Callithrix jacchus: one gene and its partner. The protein of the gene in region 2 interacts with the protein of the main gene of each other region in a pairwise test. Links are inferred from orthologs where the notes say so. Each region holds a gene or a part of one and is shown on either strand. Other genes may lie near its edges. The genes, in order: SNX10 and ARL6IP1.

Region 1 (10,356 bases), on a different chromosome or scaffold from region 2:
ACTTAACCCTAGGCTGGGCTCCCCCCATTTTCAAAGGCAGTGTTTAGGTTTGTTTTTTAGCTTTTAAAAATTGGGCTAGACAAGCATGGTTGTGTGTGTGCCTATGGTCCCAGGTACTCAGGAGGCTGAGGTGGGAGGATCGCTTGAGCCCAGGAGTCAGGGGTTCTAGTGAGCTAAGATCATGCCACTGCACTTTAGCCCAGGTGACAGAGCAAGACCCTATCTCAAACCAAAAACAAAAAACCAGAAAAATTGGCTGGGCACTATGGCTCATGCCTGTAATCCCAGCACTTTGAGAGGCCAAGATGGTTGGATTACTTGAGGTCAGGAGTTCGAGACCAGCCTGGCCAAAATGGGAAAACCCCATCTCTACTAAAAATACCAAAATTAGCCAGGTGTAGTAGCACACGTCTGTAGTTCCAGCTACTTGGGTGGCTGAGGCACAAGAATCTCTTGAACCTGGGATGTGGAGGTTGCAGTGAGCTGAGATCGTGCTGCTACACTCCAGCCTGGGTGACAGAGTGAGAATCTGTCTCAGAAGAAAACCCACGAAAAACGAAAAAACTGGGCTATAATATGTACAGTAAAATGCATAAGGTGTCCTAATCTTATGTATGTAGCTCAATGGATTTTTTTGTTTGTTTGTTTTAATAGAGACAGGTCTCTCTTTGTTGCCTAGACTGGTCTTCAACTTCTGGCTTCAAGTGATCCTCCTGCCTCAGCCTCCCAAAGAACTGGGATTACATGCATGAGCCACTGAGCATGGCCTAAATGGATTTTTATACACCTGTGTAACTACCACTCAGATCAAAGTATAGACGTTTCTGGCTTCCCAGAAGGTACCTTGTGCCCCTTTCCAGTCAGTCCCCCTCACTTCCACCCCCAGAGGTGACCTTACACAATACCTAGACCATGCATACTTTTTCCATCTTGTACTAAGTAATACTGAGACCAAGCTGCTTGCTCCAGGAAATACCCGCCCACGAACTTAATGAAACTGCAAGGCTAAGGGCATAGTTCCCATAGGACTGCCCTTGCCTCCAACACCAATTGCAAGCTTGGGGCTTTCCCAAACCACTTTCAAGTTTAATAATTCACTAGAAAAACAGAACTCAGAGCTGTTATCCTCACAGATACTACTTATTATAGAAAAAGAACGCAAATGAGAACCAGGCAAAGTAAGAGCTGGACACATAGGCAGTCAGGTGGGGTCCAAGGGCGGAGCTTCTGGTCATCCTACCAAAGGAGTCATGGGTAGAGTAACCCTCTCAGCACCATGTGTGACAGTGTGCAGAGTCACTTGGTATAGCTAGAATGATCGCCTGCTTCAAATCCATTGCTCTTAGAACAAAGTCAAAACACCTTCACATGGTCTCTAGCACTCTGCAAGATCCAAACCTGCTTCTTTCTCCAAACTTCTCTCTTGCGCCCCACATGCCACTCAAGTGCACTTCTTGTTCCTCATTTCAGAGCTTATTTTAGAGCCTTGAATGTTCCATGTGCTCTCACCCCCATGGACTTTTACACATGTTTTTTTCCACTGCCTGGAGTAATCTCTTCCCCTAGACTTCACACTGTATTGACTGGCTAACTTCTCCTTATCCTAGAAGTAAAGAAGCAGCTTTCTAAACCTTTAACTATAAAAGATATATTTATCTAGTCACCTCCCCAGCAGCAGCCTGTCGTCAATGCCAGTTAGAAGTAGAGGGGGTTTAGGTCAAGCCTTTCAATATCTTAGTGTCTGGTTGTTTAGTGGAAAGTAATTCAGGTTCCACCTAATGGAATATGTAAGCACCAAATGCAGTAGGACTGATTGTTTCGGGATCTAGACTGAGGGTACACTCCTCTCAGCACCCACAGCAGACATTACTAATTAATCATGAGGTTGGCACATGAATTGAGATTTATTTACCATCCTTGTACAAGATTCATACAGCCTGGGAGTGACATCTTGGTTCTATCTAATTGGTAGTATTAACTTTAACATTTAGTAATTTTTTTTAACATTTTGGGGGTGAGGAATCAAATGTAGTCGCTGTTGTTAAAACAGCTTTATGACTGTAATACATCTAGAAAGAGGAGAAAAGGGAGTGAGAATCTCCCTTGTTAGTTAAACATGTTCCATTTGCACGTTGGTTTGAATTCCCAGGAGAGCAGTATCCTAGCTGATGGATCTTCTCCATAAAAAGGCCTTGGCATTGGGCCATTGTGAAATTAAAATGAATTCAGATTCATTCATGCGTGCAACTTTAATTTACAATTAAAATATTATGGTTACATATTTTAATAAGAATAATTAGATGGACCCAACTGAATCAACTCTTCTGTTTAATGAGACAGAACCCAGACTCCAAATGGAAAGGCAGGTGCCTGTGACAGGAAGCACGTTTCAGACAGTGTCTTTTGTGGAGCTAGGCATTTTCGTTCTTTTAATATTCGAATGTCCAGACTGAGCTGTTTGATTTTTCTGCCCTACTCAGGATGGTTGCCTCAGCTTCCCGGAACTCATCTTGTGGGGTGTATGTGTGAGCATTTGCTCCGGCTGGACACAGTCCATTTCATGGAGTTGGACATTCTCTCTCCTGGGCGCCTGTTATGCTGCTGCTCCCTCCATAAGGGCACTGTGCTCTTTCCTTGGCCCAGGGCTCACTTACTATAACTAAACTGTTCCTCCCTGTGTGATGTGACCTGAAAAGCAGGCTGAAACCTTTTTTGGATGTATGTGCGCATGCATGCATGTCTCCCCTGCTCTCCTGGATCATGATGGCTGCATTCTCCTTTTAGAGATTTATCCCTTTAAGACAAGTGCTTTTCCCCTTCCAAAATGCACATACTTCATAGTAGGAATAACAGCAGCTTCTAGGCACTACCAGTTGTTGATGCCTTAGCAAAGATACATCCATCAGTTCTTTGGCAGGGAATATGCTGAGTAGGGCAGGCCGGAGTGGGCCCCAGAGAGTTGCACAAACCATGAGGACCCCACCACTGAGGGAGGAGATGGGGTGCTATAGGGAGAGCAGGCAGGGAGGGATATGTTGCCATTTTGGATGAGCAGCCCCTAGGGTTAATATTAATATGTTCGAGATATGCTTATGCTGACCTGTGGTAATATTTTAGACTTGCTCTGTCTAGGAAAGCATGCAAGATATTGGGAAATGGACTGGACACTGACTGGGCTGCAACTGATGAATATAATTAACAAATAAATAGTATTATCTAGGATTCTGTGATGCTGGGTACTTCAATGGGAAGCAACAAGACAAAACATTTTCTCACTCCCCAAAACCTAAATTTGTTCCCCTCTCCCTCCTTTCTTCTTCCTTCCTTTTTCATCTCCCAGCCTCTCTACATCTTTTCTCAGTCTCTGTTATACTCGGTTATTAAGTGTTCCTATTTGAAGAAATAGTTAAGTTTCCACAAGAGGCAATTTACAGTCTTCTGTAAGCAAAGAAAAGTAGCTGGGAATATTGTCTTCACACATACACACTAGGTTTTAGAGAATGCTGCTGTCATTCTGAGCACTACATTTGTGTTACAGTTACTGTGAGGACTCTGATATTTTTTTCTGAGCCTGTCCCAGAGAGAGCTCTTCCTTCTTTTTTTTTTTTTTAACCCTTCTTCCAGATTTTAAAATAATTCACTGCAGAACATTTTGGAAAAGTGTACAGGAAAAATAAAACTTGGGGATATTTCTTTTTAGTCTTTTTCTATACATATGTATATGTCATTTTTAGAAAACTGAGATCATATAGAATTTATAGTTTAATATCTCATTCTTCCAGATTAGTGTTCTAACACATTTCAAGAAATACTTCACCAGCTCTGTTTAAATTAGAAGTGGCTTAAAAAAAGAAAGAATTAGTAAGCATAAATTCATCTTCACATTTGTTTAGAAATGAAAAAAGAATACCTTTATAGTGGAGAAATCTGACAAATACTTCCTCAGCCAGGTGATCACTGTTAACACCCATGGTGATGCTACGTTGATAGCATGTGCCCTTGAAGTGATAAAAATGGCACTTTACCCTCTTAAATGGGTGGCCTTCCTTCCAAAAACCTATGACATCAATCTAATAATGAGAAAAGCATCAGATAAATCAGAGACATTCAGAGACATTCAGCAAAATACCTACCAGGGCTCCTCAAATTGTCAAGGTCATGAAAAACAAGGAATACCCTAGAAACTGTCACAGACAAGAGGAGCCCAAGGAAACACAATGACTAAATATAATGAATGTATCTTGGGTGGGATTATGGAACAGATCAATGACATTAGGTGAAAACTAAAGAAATCTTAATAAAATATGGACTTCAGTTAATAATAATGTCAATATTGATTAATGAATTGTGATAAATGCAGCATACTGATATAAAATGTTAATAATAGGAGAAGTTGAGTGTGGGGTATATAGGACCTCTCTGTACCATCTTCATAATTTCTGTATATCTAAAACTGTTTAAAATAAAAAAGTTTATTTAAAAACAAATATCATTGACATGTATATGCTCACATAAAAAGATTTCTGTAAGATTGTACAGTGAATAAACCAGTAAACAAAATATACACCTATATAAATACTCCCATCAGTGTTAAAAAATTGCATGAAGCTGGGTGTGGTGGTACATGTCTGTAACTCCAGCTACTTGGCCAATGCAGGAGGATCACTTGAGCCTAGAAGTTCGAGGCTACAGTGAGCAATCATGAATAGCCACTGCATTCCACCCTATGCAACGGAGTGAGACCTCGCCTCTTAAACCCCCGAAACAAAAAATACACAAGGTAAAGATGATAATATAATGGTAGAGATGAAAATATAATGAACCCCCATGTATATACCTACCACCCAGCTTCAGCAATTTACTAACGCATTATTAACTCATAGCCAAGCTATACCCCTCCCCCACCTATTTCCTCCTGCTACCACAGTAAATTATTTGGAAACAAATTCTAGATATTATATAATTTCATCTGTAAATATTTCAGTATACATTTCTAACAAATGACCTTTTAAAAAATGGACCACATTATCTCATGTTAAATAATTAAACAATTGCTTCATATCATCAAATATTCAGTGTTCAAATTACCTTGATTATTTTGAAAAAAAATTATATAGCTGGTTGTTCTAATTATCTATTTAATTAGGATTCAGATAAGGACCACACATTGCATTTGGTTGATAAGATTGTTTAAAGTCTTTAATTCTCTCTTTTCTCCCTTTTGCAGTTTATTTGTTGAAGAAATTAACATAGTTTGCCTTATAGAGATTTTCATATTTTAGATTTTGCTGATTGCATCCTTGTGGATGCCAATTATTTCTTGTTGCAAAAGACGAGTTTTTTTTTTTTATTTTAACTGCACTTTTCCTAATGTGTTATGAGATATGAAAAGGTAACTCTTGCTGATTTGGGATACTACTTGTGTAAAGAAACTTGCAACATCATGAACTGTTACAAGTCATGTAAAAGGCAGGTCTAGCTAAATCTCATTCACAGTTGTTTATCCTGAAGTAATAAAAAGCTTTTCAAAAAATCATCATTCAGTACCACCAGAGGATGGTATTTAAACATACTCCATGCTATAGAGTGGCAAGTAATATCACTTGTCATATGTCTTTTAAGTTATTTGTTACAGCTGTTTTAGGAAATAAAGGAAGGTTATTTGATATATTCATTCTGCCTTTCCATTGTTATTTGTAAAGAATATAGCATGTAAAATATGCCAGATTTTAGTTGTGAGATTGTTATATGGGGGTCCTGAATAGCACTCTGGTGATTAAGACATTGGTAAATTCTATAATCATTAGTTGTATAGAAAAGTACCTAGTGCATTGTTGGTGCACAATATATTTTAAGTGAATGAATGAATGAACGAATGAGTCTCCAGTTTAAATACATGAATCTTTAAAGCACTACTTTGAAGTAGAAAAAAAATGTCCCAAGAAGGAAGAACAAACTGAGACAAGTTTACATTTTTATGATAGAAAATTCTCATCAAAGCTATGAAAAATTAATATTCACTTAACACCTAGACATTCTGCTTTATTAGCTTCTGTCTTTTGTGATATTTCTGTAATCTAAGTAAATATTTTTACAGTTAACACCTACTCATTTTTACTCTGCTACAAAGATTCAAGCTAGGCTATGATGGGAAATTTTAAAAACACATCTATCACAATGGCTAAAATAAAAAATAGTGTGGATCCTCATAGAAACTGTAATAGGTATGTATGCTATATCACCGTGGGGTTAATTTGTATTTTCCTGGTGTTTAATGATATTAAACATCTTTCCACATGATTTTTGCCGTCTGTATGCCCTCTTTGGGTGAAATGTGTCTTCATGTCTTTTGCCTGTATTCTAAATTGAATTCTGTTTTTTAAATATTGAGTTTTTAGAGTGAGTGAATGAGTTTATTTTGAGACAGGGTCTGTCTGTTGCTGAGGCTGGAGTGCAGTGGCGTGATCTCGGCTCACTGCAACCTCCCACCCACCCACCAGGCTCAAGCAATTGAGTCCCACCTCAGCTTCCTGAGTAGCTGGGACTACAAGTACAAGCCACTCCACTCAGCTAATTTTTAAATAATTTTTAAATGTTTCATAGAGATGGGGTTTCACCATGTTGCCCAGGCTGGTCTTGAACTCCTGAGCTCAAGGGATACTCCCACCTTGGCCTCCCAAAGTGCTGGGATTACAAGAGAAAGCCACCTCATCGGTCTAAGAGGTTATTTAAATATATATATATATATATTCTAAATGCAAGTCCTTTGTGGGATGTGTAATTTGCAAATATTTCTTCCAATTTGTAATGTGCTTTTTTTTTAACCTTATTCATGGTGTCTTTTGCAGAGCAAAGATTTTTAGTTTGATGAAGCTTAATTGATTATCCTTCTGTGGATTGCCTTTTTGAGATCAAGTCTAAGCACTCTTCTCCTAGTACTAGACTGAACGGTTTTCTCTGAATTTTTTTTTCTAAACGTTTTCTCTGATGCTTTATGTTTGACATTTACATCTGTGGTTTATTTAGTGTTGGGTTTTGTATAAGGTGCAAGCTTTAGGTTGAGGTTCATCTCTTGACCTATGGATGTCCAGTTGCTGCATAATCGTTTGTTGAGAGGCTTTTTCTTCTCCACTGAATTTTTTTTTTTTTTGCGCCTTTGTCAAATGAGCATATTTGTGTTGGTCTGTCTCTGGGTTTTCTGTTCTGCATTTCACTGATCAACTGTGTCTTAACATTGGGAAGAAGGCTTCCTCCCACTTTATTCTTTTTCAGAAATTTTTTGGCTATTCTAAGACCTTTCCTTTTCTATATAAATTTTAATATAAGCCCATCTGTGTCTTTAAAAAATTCTTGCTGAGATTTTTTTGATAGGAATTATGTTAAACTTACAGATCAATTGGGGGAGAATTTATCTCTTTACTATGTTGAGTCTTCCAATTTATGAACATAGTAGTCTCTGCTTTGATTTCTTTCAATAGCATCTTATGATTTTCAGTATAGAGAACCTCTGCCTTTTAAAAAATCTTACTTGTAACCAGTTGTTTAATTCTGAAACATTTAATATGCACTTACTGTGTGCTAGTACCATGCTTGGTGCTAGAAATGCAAAAATGAAATACAAAGCTTTAAGAACCCATAAGGACAGAGTTTGAAAAGAGCATGTTGTTTGAACTGGTATTTTAGCTAATAAAAGCGGAAAAAACTTCCACGTCCAAAACAATGCAATTACAGTAAAATTGGAAATTGCCTAATATTTATTATTGCTATAAAAATTGCTAGATAGAACATGTTTGAGAGTACAGTCTTTGAGACAAGACAGATCTGAGTTTGAAGCCTGGCTCAGCCTGGTCATTGACTTTGGGCAAGTTGCTTAAGCTTTAGAAGCCTCATTTTTAAAATTTGGAAAGTAGGATAAGAATATATTGAGCTCTGAGGGTTGTTGGAAAGATTGAAGGAAAACATTTGTGAAACAGTGCAATACCTGCCACATGTCAAGTGCCCTTGTATAAATACAATACAGTTATTTTTATTATAGTTTCATTTCATGTACGGGCTAAGAAAAAAAGGACAGGGTAGAAGTGGATTATGGTCAAGCCGGAATGGGGGAAAAACAGGGTACATTGAAATCAAAGGGTGATTATCTTAGGAGAATACAGGAATTAGATCTTCAAAGAGTCTAGGAGTCTGTCTTTCTTTAGAAGTCTTTTCACATGGAGAACAGTAGGGACAGTTAGTCTAAATTTTTAATTCCACTCTTCCTGGCTTTTTCATACTGCATATAGTCATTAGGCCCAAGAAGTCATTAAAGTGTTTAATAATGTTATTAAATAGACTAACTGCAGCTGCTGAAGCAATTTTCCTAGGAAATCCATATGATTCTAGGTAAGGGGCTGTGGAACTGTCCTCTGTGGCTGACAGCCTGTCAACATTCCCTTGAAGGATGGCAGGCAGTGTCGTGAGGGATGCGTCTAATTAAGAGATTAGAGGTGAACCTTGGCTTCCTGGGTGTGCTATTTGTAGCTGAGAGTATGGTGAAACTTCACTAATTCCTGCTAATTGCAGAGTGGGGGAGGGGGAGACCCATGTGAATTATAGAATATTTTAAAATAAATGTACTTTTATTACTTTCAAGTACATATTTTAACTCCAACTAGGCTAACAAATTGTTGCCTGGTGTAAGTCTTGGGGGACTAGGTTATTGAAGCTATCAGAAGGATTTTAAATTATTTCTATGTAAATAGGTGCTTCTGGAGTTCTTCCGGGTGCTGGAAGACAGTTTATTTTCCCAGATCTTAAATATTGCTCTTGTATCCTTATGCTGTTAATTGGCACATCCTTAGAGGAAGGGGTTTGTTAAATTAAGATAAACTTTAGACCAGCTGCTAAATAACTTATCATTAATTCATGGAGTCCAAGAATCCAAGTAGATGATGTTTTAATTTCAAGTGAAGTTTGATCTTCTTTCCCTGAAGGCAGTTTGTTTATTCCTGCAGGCATTTATTTATTCATTAAATGATACTAATAGAATGCATTGGATGTATCAGGCATTCAAGTCTTACAAGACAGCCTAAGCTGCCCTACAGGAGCTTAGCGCCTGTTAGAGGAGGCCTGCAGGTAATTACAGTACAGCACGGTAGGTCTGAGAAGGATTCCCAGGAAAAGTGGTGACCAAATTGCATTTGAAAAATGAATTGGAGTTAGCAAAAAGTAGTAGAGGAAAAGAGAAGATTAAAAAAAAAATTAAAAAGGGCAGTAGGGTGGCCCAGCAATCCAGGCAAAGAGAACAGCTTGGTCAAAGGCGTGGATGTGTGAAGTGGCATGTTGCATATGGGGACCTACACTTAGTCTTTGAAGATAAACAGAGTGAAAATCGTGAAAGGCTGTATTGTACTAGCTGAGGAGTTTGGACTTGATCTTGAAGGTTATGGGGCAGGCTTTGAAGGATTTTCAGGAGGAAAGCAGCGTCATCAGTTACGTGTTTTGGAGCCATTCTTGTCTTCATGTGGGGAATGCATTGGATGTGGGCCCAGAGATAAATTAGCAGTTCTTGCATTAATGTTGGGAAAGAAGTCCGTAAACCCAGGGAACAGCAGAGGGAATAGTTGTTGGTGGTTCCAAGGAGAACGACTCTGAAGGACTTGGTCTTTGTGAATTTGAGAAATGAGTCAAACACAGAAGTTTGGGGGCACTGGGTTTCTCGCTGAGGTTGGTGGGAGATGCTTTTCACTGAGAAGGGAAGCAGAATGATGTGGGAAGGGAATGGGCACAGCATGCTCAGGGGACTTCTAGGTGGACCAGGCTAGAGGTTGGATCCATGGGAGAGGTGCCTGAACTGGGATGGAGCTTTGGATGGGGACCATCAACTCATTCGAGGGGGTTGAATGTGTTTGGATGAGGTCACCCTAGAATTGTAATAGGATGCAAAGAACAATAGCCTGGGATGCTCTCAGGGGCACAGAAATGTTTCAGGGAGGAGAAAAGGAAGAAAAGTTTGCCATCCACAAGAGAATAGTGATATTTAGCACACCAAGTTAAAGATTTTCAGGAATGAAAAAATATGTGGAATCTTAGTGCTGCATTGAATTTTGAGTGCATTTAAAATGCATTGCTGTGTTCTTTGAAGATATATTTGTTTCCAGTATGGTTTTAGAATATGTATTCAACATCCCCTTCCCTTTTAGTCAAATGTTTTATCTTTTTACCTAAAAGATAATGCCAAAGCAATTCTTTTTTTCAACAACAGATTTGTGGCAAATTGACAAACGTGTTTTCTTTTTGTTTTATTTAATCTGCGTGAAGCCTCGCTCTATCAGTAATGGGTGCATGTCTTCTTCTGTTAATGTGGAACACTGAGCT
Region 2 (10,351 bases):
TTCTTTATAAACTTAGTCCTAGGGAAAGAAAACATAATCAACGAACAACACACACAGCAGTAAAAAGCCAACAAGAGACCCTCCAAGAAAACCTTTTGTATTTATAATGTTTTCTTGTTTTTTTTTTTTTTAATTGCCTTTGCACTGTCTTCGCTACACAGCTCTAATGGCTGCTATTATTACGTAGGCCTGTGCTGAGGGATGTGTTGCCTTCTCTCCTGTAGCCCTCATCTCTGCAAAACTGCAGTGACAGATAGAGGGATTTCTGCTGAGCCCTGGAACTTCTTTTTAACAGTTAGACATTATTTGTTGCCCATGGTCAAGGCTAGATTGTGGCTATGCAAAAGAGTGTTCTTTTCCCCTATAAGATCAAAAAAGAAACAAAATTTGCTCTATCAATAACTGAGGCACACCATGAAACAATCAGCGGCTATTTCTGAAGTTTCCTCTAGGAGTTATAAATTAGCAGACTGGAATGTCATCTGGCTAAGAAGGCCAAGGTTAGTGGTTTATTTCCTTTGCTAACTCTGTTACATTGAACATCCAGAAACTTGCCCAAAAAAGCCACAGCATTGATTCATTACCACAAGTGAAAAACAATTCAAAGGATAGTTCCTAACATGAATCCATTCTGTTGTTGGGGGAAACAACTTTAAACAAACATTGTTAATTATATGGTAATAAGCAAACTTTGAATTTGTTCCTAAAGATCCCTAAGGTCCACATTTAAAATCATTATATTTAAAGAATTATTTTGCAATTTGCTATCCTCTGAGAAACAACCAACCAAAGGCACAAAGAGAATACTAACCAAATAAAATAAACAGCCAAGGGAGAACAGCAGCTGAGAAGAAAAAAATGTATTCCAACGTCTATTTTGGCTGATTATTTGAATCAAAATTCAACATGCTACAGGAAGTTAAAATACTTTTAAATAATATGATCCTTATCCAGTTAACTATATCTGAGTTCTTAAGCAACCATTTCAGAATGGCATAAATAAAATCAGCAACTCATGTGTATCCAGTTTGAACAACTTCAGAAACACTTGGTATTCCTTTGTTAATCCACTTTATTAATTCCACTGCTTCACTAAGTATCTCAGCCTTAACACAAAATCTACTTAAAAGTCAAAATATTTCACAGTACTTAACAGTGTCTGCCATTTAATAAATAATTGTAGACATTTAATAAATAATTGCTGAACGAATGTGAATGAAAATCTACCAATTTCCTTTTCTGTATTCATTCGAAAATAATTTGTAAAGTTATTATACTATCTTTTTTTTTTTTTTTTTTTATACAGAGTTTCCCTCTTGTTACCCAGGCTGGAGTGCACTGCACTCCAGCCTGGGTAACCCAAGAGGTGACCTCTTGGGTTAAAGCGATTCTCCTGCCTCAGCCTCTGGAGTAGCTGGGATTACAGGCACATGCCACCATGCCTGACTAATTTTGTATTTTTAGTAGAGACAAAGTTTCTCCATGTTGGTCAGGCTGGTCTCGAACTCCCAACCTCAGGTGATCCACCTGCCTCGGCCTCCCAAAGTGCTGGGATTACAGGCGTGAGACACTGTGCCTGGCTATTATATCAACGGAACTGTAAAAATGTATATGTACAGTTACCATAAAAGAACAGAAAACTCATAGTTCATATTCATATTCAAATCAGTTAAGACATTCTTCACATGAAAGCAATACATCTGATGCTTAGGTGTCTGAGGTTAGAAAATTATCTCTGCTTATTTACGGCATACTAATCACAGCCACCACGTTCAGTAACTACACAGAAATTAGACTGCCAAATCATTATGCTACCTACCATTTATTGGAGCCAAAAATTCTAGGCGCTAGAATGGGAACGAGGTAGTCAGCCAAGCACAAAAACATAACAAAACAGGAAACGCCAGAAAGAACAGATGGGTCTAGATAGTAGATAATCCTGTTAAAAAAATCAATAAAGTTTAGAAAAACATAGTCATTATTATTCCTAACTAAACAGAACTAACTTAATTATTCACTTAATCCACTGCTTCTCAGAGATATTTGCCATTTTTTTTCTAATTTTTTCACAAGTGGCTTTCCAGATGCTTGGTGACATGCTGATATCACAGCTGCAATGGTTAAGTAAATATCAATGGACAAACACTCTTTGGAGTTCTCAGTAATTTTTTTTTTTTTCTTGAGGCGGAGTCTCACTCTGTCACCCAGGCTGGAGAGTGCAGTGGCACGATCTCGGCTTACTGCAACCTCCACCTCCCAGGTTCAAGTGATTCTCCTGCCTCAGCCTCCTGAGCAGCTGGAATTATAGGAGTATGCCACCACGCCTGGCTAATTTTTTGTATTTTTAGTAGAGATGGGCTTTCACCATGTTAGCCAGGATGGTCTTCATCTCCTGACCTTGTGACCCACCCACCTCAGCCTCCCAAAGTGCTGGGATTACAGGCCTGAGCCACTGCGCCCGGCCTGGAGTTCTCAGTACTTTTTAATAGTTTAGGGGAGTGGGAGACCAAGGAAGGGATAGCATTAGGAGAAATACCTAATGTAGATGACAGGTTGATGGGTACAGCAAACCACCATGGCACATGTAATATCTATGTAACAAACCTGCATGTTCTGCACGTGTATCCCAGAACTTAAATTAAAAAAAAAAAAAAAAAAAAAAGTGTAAGGATAAGTTTGAGAGTCACTGATTTACCCAAGTGCTTTAGGTCACCAAAAGTACTTACTTTATGTAAGTACTACAAATTCTGGAAACTAGAAGTGCCTATAAGAAAACACATTCTTTCTGGGTTATATATTACAAAAGACTTAAGACACACCCACAAATGAAAGCTATATATTAAAAGGCTTTTATTAACAAGAAACACAACCCGTAGTAATCTGATAGTTCACTTACAGAAACACCAAAGAAACCACACCCATGATGGCAGGTGGAAACCAGGCTCTTTCCCATCGAAGGACTCTATCAGCCATCAGCATCACTTCTCCCCATCCTTGCAGCTGTTCTTCCAGACTTGCAGTCTCTGCAGCCTAAATACCGCCAACATTTAAAGCAATTGTTTTACCACTCTCAACATCTTTGTGGTTCACAAAATTCAATTATTTTAAGGCTCCAAATACATAAAAATAACCTCTTAACCAAATTGCCATTTTAAAGCAAGTTGGTATCTGAAAAACTGCAATTGCAAAGATGAAAACCCAATGGTTTTTTTGTTGTTGTTGTTGTTTTCTGGAGTCTTGCTCTGTCACCCAGGCTGGAATGCAGTGGTGAGATGAAGCTTCTGCCTCACAGGTTCAAGCAATTTTCCTACCTCAGCCTCCGGAGTAGTTGGGACTACAGGCACATGCCACCACACCCGGCTAATTTTTTGTACAGATGGGGGTTTCACCATGTCAGCCAGGCTGGTCTTGAACTCTCGATCTCAAGTGATCTACCAGGCCCAGCCTAAATATCCTTTTAATGGTCACTTTTCTGGTCCAAGCACTGGGCTATTCTTTACATACATGATGTAACTTGATCCTTATAGAGAGCCACAAGGTAGGGATAATTAGACTCATTTTACAATTAAAGAAAGTGAGCTCAAAATAGTTTACTTTCTTAAAGTCATACAGGGAATCATGCGGCAGTGCCTAGAGTATTAATAAAAACGAAATTGCTTTAAGTTTGTTTATTTCGGATGGTTAGAATTGATCTGTTTTGTCATCTTATTGATTTAAACCCTTCTAAATCCATTAGGAAAGACTTTCCTGAACAGCATTCAATTTCTAAAATAGCTCTTTGTGTAATGGAATCACTCAGATGTTGGCATTCATTGCACAATTAAGGAAAACTACTTTCACTAAATTAAAGTGGCATATTAGGCTCAATGTATCTCCTCAGTACAGTGTTTCCTACCACTTAGGAGGTCATTCTGGTTATACTTCAAATTTCTCTATGACTCTGACAGCCGAAAGTGGACCTTTAGGATGAGCTAATGTGGCAAAAGCCCTGAAAACTCGTTTTGATACAGGAAGAAAAAATTAGAAGAAACCCAAGTGTTTGTGTTGAGTCTGGATGCAGTGGCTGACACCTATAATCCCAGCACTTTAGGAGGAAGAGACTGGAGGATTGTTTGAGCCTCAAGAGTATGGGACTAGCCTGGCCTGAGACCTTGTCTCTATAAATGTCATTCACTGGGAAGCATGCAAATGACAGAATCTTAACAAAGACACTTCATCTTAACAAAGCCACTCTATCTGTGCCACGCTGACCACTCTTTTGATCTCAATATTTTTGACTTTATTTCCATGCTTAATACTAATGAAAGAAGAGGCTACCTCCCAGCAGTGGGAACTCTGCTGAGCATTTTATATTTATACTTCAATTAATCTTCCCAACAACCCTAAAAAAGGTGCTATTACTATCCCCATTTTAGAGGAGGAAACAGATAAACAGAGGTTAACAGACTTGCATCCAGGAAACCCAAGACCAAAGGCTTTGCTTTCCTTATTGTTATACTGCTTTGCTGCAAAGCAAGAGCCCTAGCCCAGGATTTGTCATTTCAACAGGGCATGAGCAACTTCTTTGTGCTTCAATTAATCCTCTTAAAAGGAACCATGCTGGGAACTATGTTAGAAGGCGTGTGTTTAAAGGAACAAACCAAGCATTTCTAAAAGCAAATATGAAGTGAAAATAATGCACAATCAAAACTGCCCTGAAGTCACGTCATTGGCCAGCACCTGGGCTCTTGGAAGTTCAAAAGCCCAAAATTAAGTTCTTTGGTTCCGTTTTTCATTGCTGGTGTGTGACCTGCAGTCACAAGGAAGGGTAACCGAGAATATGTAAGGGTATCTTTTTTCTGCCTACATGGTGCACTTAAATTCGTAACAAATGAAATTTACCCGCCTATGATACCTAACATCACTGCAGTTCCTTCGGATCCCCGCTTATTACTCTCAAGTTGTTTCCAGTCGTCCTGTGACCCCACCCCCGCCAGACTTCCAAATTCCAGACAAACGCCAAGACATGCCATTGTCTGTTCAGCTGTACCCCACTCTCTCAGTTCCCCACGGTGAGCTCGCAGCCTCCCTGCGGTTTTAAGTTGTAGCAGCTCTAACAGAAATTCTCAGCAGTAGCCTTTTGACCTTCTATCCTTCCAAGCTTTAGGGGGAAAAGAAAGCAAGCACAGCCAGGTTAAGATCAAAGACGGGGAAAGCCGAATACGGCTGGGGCCTGGGCCCCGAAAGCGCTGGAGAGGCCCCAAGAGGCCTTCTGCCCCCTGCGGCACCCCAGGCTAGTGTCGCAGCCCCAGGCCTCCCACTTCCTCCTCGACCCCTATTGGCGGTTAGGAATCACCCGCCCTCCTCGCCCCGTCGAGCACCGTCCCCAGGAAAGGTCAGGGATCGACACCCAGGGCCAGGCATCGTCGCCTGCGCCAGGAGAGAAGGGACGGGCCCGCGGCGGGTGACAGGGAAGAGGCCGCGGCGTTTGAGCCCACGGACGTCCGGCGGCCTCGCTTGGCTCCCGGGGAACAGGCAGCCAGGACTCACCAGCAGGTTGGAGCTGCGATTATCTCCCTCCGCCATCGTCTCTGAGATGCTGTCTCTTAAGCTCAGGCCACCTTCCAGCGAAACCTCCTACCAGGACTCGCACGGCGACCGCAGCGCACGGGAACGCCCCGCAGACCGCTTATATGGGTTGTCTGCCCTTCCCGACAGCCCCCGCGATACTCGCTCCTCATTGGACAGGCTGAGCTCACGCCTCCGGGAAGCCGGACCAACCGAAGTTCAGCGCATGGCTTGAAATCGAGGTCAAAGGAGACAGAGGCGGTGTCGGGCCGAGGGGAGGGGACACGGAGTGGCCAATCAGCGTTCAGAGACTGCGCGACATCCCACCCAGGTCTGTCGGTAGCGGTTCAACGGCCGCCGCAGGGGGCGCTGTCCCGCAATGGTTCCCCAGTTCCGGCCTCCGCGGCCGCTTTCTAACCCTCTTTGTCTGGCTCTCGCAGCCCAGGAGCCTCTCCGAAAAAAGAGCTCCTCGGAGAGATACCGCGCCGCCTGAAGCGGAGGACGCCGGGCCTGCGACACTTAACCTATTCGTGGCCCCTAGGCGACTGGGATCCACTCCCTCTACGGTCCGGTGCCTTCGTCAGGCACCTGAGCCGTTTAGCCCCGATTTGCGACTCGCGAGGTTTTTTTTTTTTTTTTTTTGAGACGCAGTTCCGCTCTTGTTACCCAGGCTGGAGTGCAATGGCGCGATTTCGGCTCACCACAACCTCCGCCTCCTGGGTTCAGGCAATTCTCCTGCCTCAGCCTCCTGAGTAGCTGGGATTACAGGCACGCACCACCATGCCCAGCTAATTTTTTGTATTTTTAGTAGAGACGGGGTTTCACCAAGTTGACCAGGGTGGTCTCGATCTCTTGACCTTGTGATCTACCCGCCTCGGCCTCCCAAAGTGCTGGGATTACAGGCTTGAGCCACCGCGCCCAGCCCTGCGAGGTTTTGAGGACAAATGAAAAGAGCTCTTTGTGTAGATTTTGCTGCAATGTTTCTCTTCTACCCAGTAGAAATAAGGCCTTAGTGGAAAAACCCAGGCCTGGTTTGAGAACGTGTGAAAAATGCACCGCCCTCTAAGTGGCTTATTATACGTGGGTGCTTAAGTTACTTAAACTACGCGCTCCCTTTCCAAAAGGATTTTTTGTTTTTTGAGACGGGGGAATCTCGCTCCATTGCCCAGGCTGGGGTACATTAGCGCGATCTCTGCTCACTGTAGCCTCCATCTCCCGGGTTCAAGTGATGCTCACGCCTCAGCCTCCGGAGTAGCGGGAATTACAGGCGCCTGCCTCCATGCCCGGCCAATTTTTGTATTTTAGTAGAGACGGGGTTTCACCATGTTGGCCAGGCTGGTCTCAAATTCCTGACCTCAAGAGATCCACCCGCCTTGGCCTCTCAAAGTGGTGGGATTACAGGCGTGAGCTGCCGCGCCCGGCCAAAAGGATAGTTCTGATACGACTTTTCTACCATTAGAAGATTAGAAGTCAGCAGCTTAGCAACTGTGTTGAGACACTTGTACATGTTTTCTATCCAGGATTTCAAATGCAGTTAACAAGTGCTTTTTTTTTTTCTTTGGAGACAGAGCCTCACTCTGTTGCCCAGGTTGGAGTGCAGTAGCCACCGCGCCCGGCCAATTTTTTATTTTTCAATACAAACAGAATCATGCCAAATGCTGTCCTGATCAGGTTTCAGGTGAATTAACTATAGTTTTAACTTCCAACCTTTTTTTTTCCGAGGCGGAGTTTCGCTCTTGTTACCCAGGCTGCAGTGCAATGGCGCGATCTTGGCTCACCGCAACCTCCGCCTCCTGGGTTCAAGCAATTCTCCCGCCTCAGCCTCCTGAGTAGCTGGGATTACAGGCACACGCCACCATGCCCAGCTAATTTTTTTTTTTTTTTTTTTTGTATTTTAGTAGAGGCGGTTGACCATGTTGACCAGGTTGGTCTTGATCTCTTGACCTCTTGATCCACCTGCCTCGGCCTCCCAAAGTGCTGGGATTACAGGCGTGAGCCACCGCAACTTCCAACCTTTTATCCTTTTATACAGGTTTTAACTTCCAATCTCTTACCTATTGTGCCATTGAATTTAAATTTATTTTTAAAATGTTCCTTAAGTAACCACCAGGTTCTTAAAAGTTCAAGAAGTCATCAATGTGAGAGAACACAGCTGCAGGCCGCATACTGCCCCTAAGAGAGCTGGGCAAGGGAAGGAGCACTGTGAATTTCATGGAAGGGTGTTGGTTTGCTGTGGGTCTTTTGGGGGAAGGTGGAGTGAAACATCTGAATCAGGGAGAAGCACGTGAGAAAAAAAGCCTTTGTAACGGAAGCTGACTGTTCAATAAATTGCCACTCTGGAGAATGTTGGGGAAAAGAAGTTTTACAGGCAGGATACAGCCAGTTGACAGAGACGCTATTTGGGAAGATTTTAAAGATATGGAGTCTGAGACGAGCAGGTTCTTCTTCACACCCTCGAAGAAGAAAAAAAAAAAAAGGAATCCCTGGGAGGCCGAGGCAGGTGGATCACGAGGTCAAGAGATCGAGACCAGCCTGGTCAAACAAGGTGAAAACCCGTCTCTACTAAAAATACAAAAAAATTAGCTGGGCGTGATGGCACACACCTGTAGTCCCAGCTACTTGGGAGGCTGAGGCAGGAGAATTGCTTGAACCCAGGAGGCGGAGGTTGCGGTGAGCCGAGATCGCGCCATTGCACTCCAGCCTGGGTAACAAGAGCGAAACTCCGTCTCAAAAAAAAAAAAAAAGGAATCCCTTGAGCCCAGGAGATTGAGGCTGCAGTGACTTGATTGCACCTACTGCACTCCAGGTTGGGCGATAGTGCAAAAACTGTCTCAAAACAAACAAATAAAAAGATCCAGGCAATCTGCAGCCACATAATTCATGAACATGTTGAGCACTGGGTGCATAATCTTGCTAGACCTACAGTAATAGCCACTTCCAAAAGAGAGACTATGGGTTATTAGGTTTAAAGCTGACATTTCATTAGCTATGTGTGGTGGCGCGTGCCTGTAGTCCCAACTACTCTGGAGGCTGAAACAGGAGAACTGCTTGAACCCGGGAGGGGGAGGTTGCAGTGAGCCGAGATCGTACCACTGCACTCCAGCCTGGTGCCTGCCTGGCTATGAAACAAGACTCTGTCTCAAACAAAAAAAAAACAAACTGACATTTCTACTTTGGGAAACCAGCTTTTGCTGCAGAGTACGCTTCTCGTTTTCACCCAAGTTTTCCACGTACTACTTAAGACTTGTTAATACCAGCATGTGGAATAGAGTAGGTGAAAAAACAGAACCAACTCAAGCAGCAGTTTCTTCACTTAGTATTTATTTTTGTTACTTAACAAATAATGTGTTCCCATACCTATTTTCAAATGATCTCTCACTAAATTTCCTATTGGTCTAATGATTAAAAACACCCACCCTTAAGGTAGCTTTCTTTAGAGCTTTTTTTTTTCCTACTGAGACAGGATGTGATCTTTTGAAATGTGCCAGATGACTAAGCAGTTAACATAAATCCTAACATCATCAAGCAGCACCAAATGCAATCTTCAAGATACAAAGCCTGCTGGACATTTTCTATTTTCTTTCAGAGGTTTCACACAAGGAATGCATCTGTCACTATTGAACTATGGGAATTCTGTTTTTAAATATTGCCAAAATTAAGCTTTATAAATTGGACCTTAAAGCAGAATTTTATCATTGAAGTAAAATTTCCACTGTTCAAAAATACAACAGAAGTTTGAGAGTAAAATAATTACTTTTCTGAGAATTTAGGGGTTTTTTGTGGGGTTTTTTTTTTTTTTTGAGGTATTAATGCTATTCAGAAAAAAATGGCTAGGCTTGGCTTGGCTCAGGACTGTAATCCCAGCACTTTGGGAAACCAAAGATGGAGGATAACTTGAGCCCAGGAGTTCAAGATCGGCCTGGGCAACACAGGGAGACTGTTTTCTTGTTTGTTTTTTTAAAGCTACCCAGGTTCCAAAAGGTTCCAAGTTTTCTAGAATCTACTTTGACCAATAAATTCAGAACTTAAATGCTGTATCTTCTGCGACTGAATCTTTATTTTCTGAAAAACAGGTATTTCATACAATCTTTGCCATGTTAATGCAAATATGCACAAAGTAGGCATGTATTTTTGTTTTCCAAAAGATGCATTATGAACATTTTCAGGAAGCTGGTGTGATTTATTCAACTTTTAAATACAGTCACAAAATTATATCCATCAGGAGGCATTACAACCTTTTGTACAGAGAAGCCACTATTTATACAATGTTACTAGGACAAGGAAGATTCAGTTCAACTCAACTTGCTCTTAGAATAAGGGTAAAAGTAAATTAACAAGTAAGTGAAGTATAATGTTGTTGCCACTGACATTACAGGTGGAAATATAAGGGAAATTTAAACCAGAAAATGACACAACTTTAAAGAGGAGCTGAAACCTTGACTGTCAAGAAAAGAAAAAAACTATTAGCCTGTTTTCAAATAAAAACATTCCAAAAGTCTGCATTTCAGAACAACATAGAATTCTTTTAAGTTTACCATCTTCAAAAATCTACTTAATTGTATGACACTTTTACATTGGCACAACGAAAACTTTTTCTACTAAGTCCAGTCAAATTCCCATGGAAAAGCAAAAGACCCTAAGTGGTTCATGTTTTGCAGCCCTTGAACTTAATAAAGCTTTTCTCGTTAAGAGTCAGTTTTGTCCTTCTGTAAATAAGGATGGTGATATTTTTATCCAGACCTAAATAAAAAGCAGGAAGTGCAACAAACCCTTAGGGTTTCATAATACAGTGAATTTCCCCCTC

Evidence for each region.
Region 1: the proteins of ARL6IP1 (region 2) and SNX10 interact in binary tests that used the Homo sapiens proteins (3 or more experiments, as listed by UniProt). The two-hybrid records come from large-scale screens. The link is inferred for Callithrix jacchus from reciprocal best matches to the Homo sapiens genes ARL6IP1 and SNX10.

The regions. Positions count from the first base shown.
Region 1 is NC_133512.1:31,750,410-31,760,765, reverse strand, and holds the start of SNX10 (sorting nexin-10), read left to right. Parts: upstream 1-4,645; 5' UTR 4,646-4,726; coding exon 4,727-4,780; intron 4,781-10,356. UniProt on the Homo sapiens protein: Probable phosphoinositide-binding protein involved in protein sorting and membrane trafficking in endosomes. Plays a role in cilium biogenesis through regulation of the transport and the localization of proteins to the cilium.
Region 2 is NC_133513.1:20,240,977-20,251,327, forward strand, and holds the start of ARL6IP1 (ADP-ribosylation factor-like protein 6-interacting protein 1), read right to left. Parts: upstream 5,647-10,351; 5' UTR 5,566-5,646; coding exon 5,530-5,565; intron 3,031-5,529; coding exon 2,897-3,030; intron 1,940-2,896; coding exon 1,820-1,939; intron 1-1,819. UniProt on the Homo sapiens protein: Positively regulates SLC1A1/EAAC1-mediated glutamate transport by increasing its affinity for glutamate in a PKC activity-dependent manner.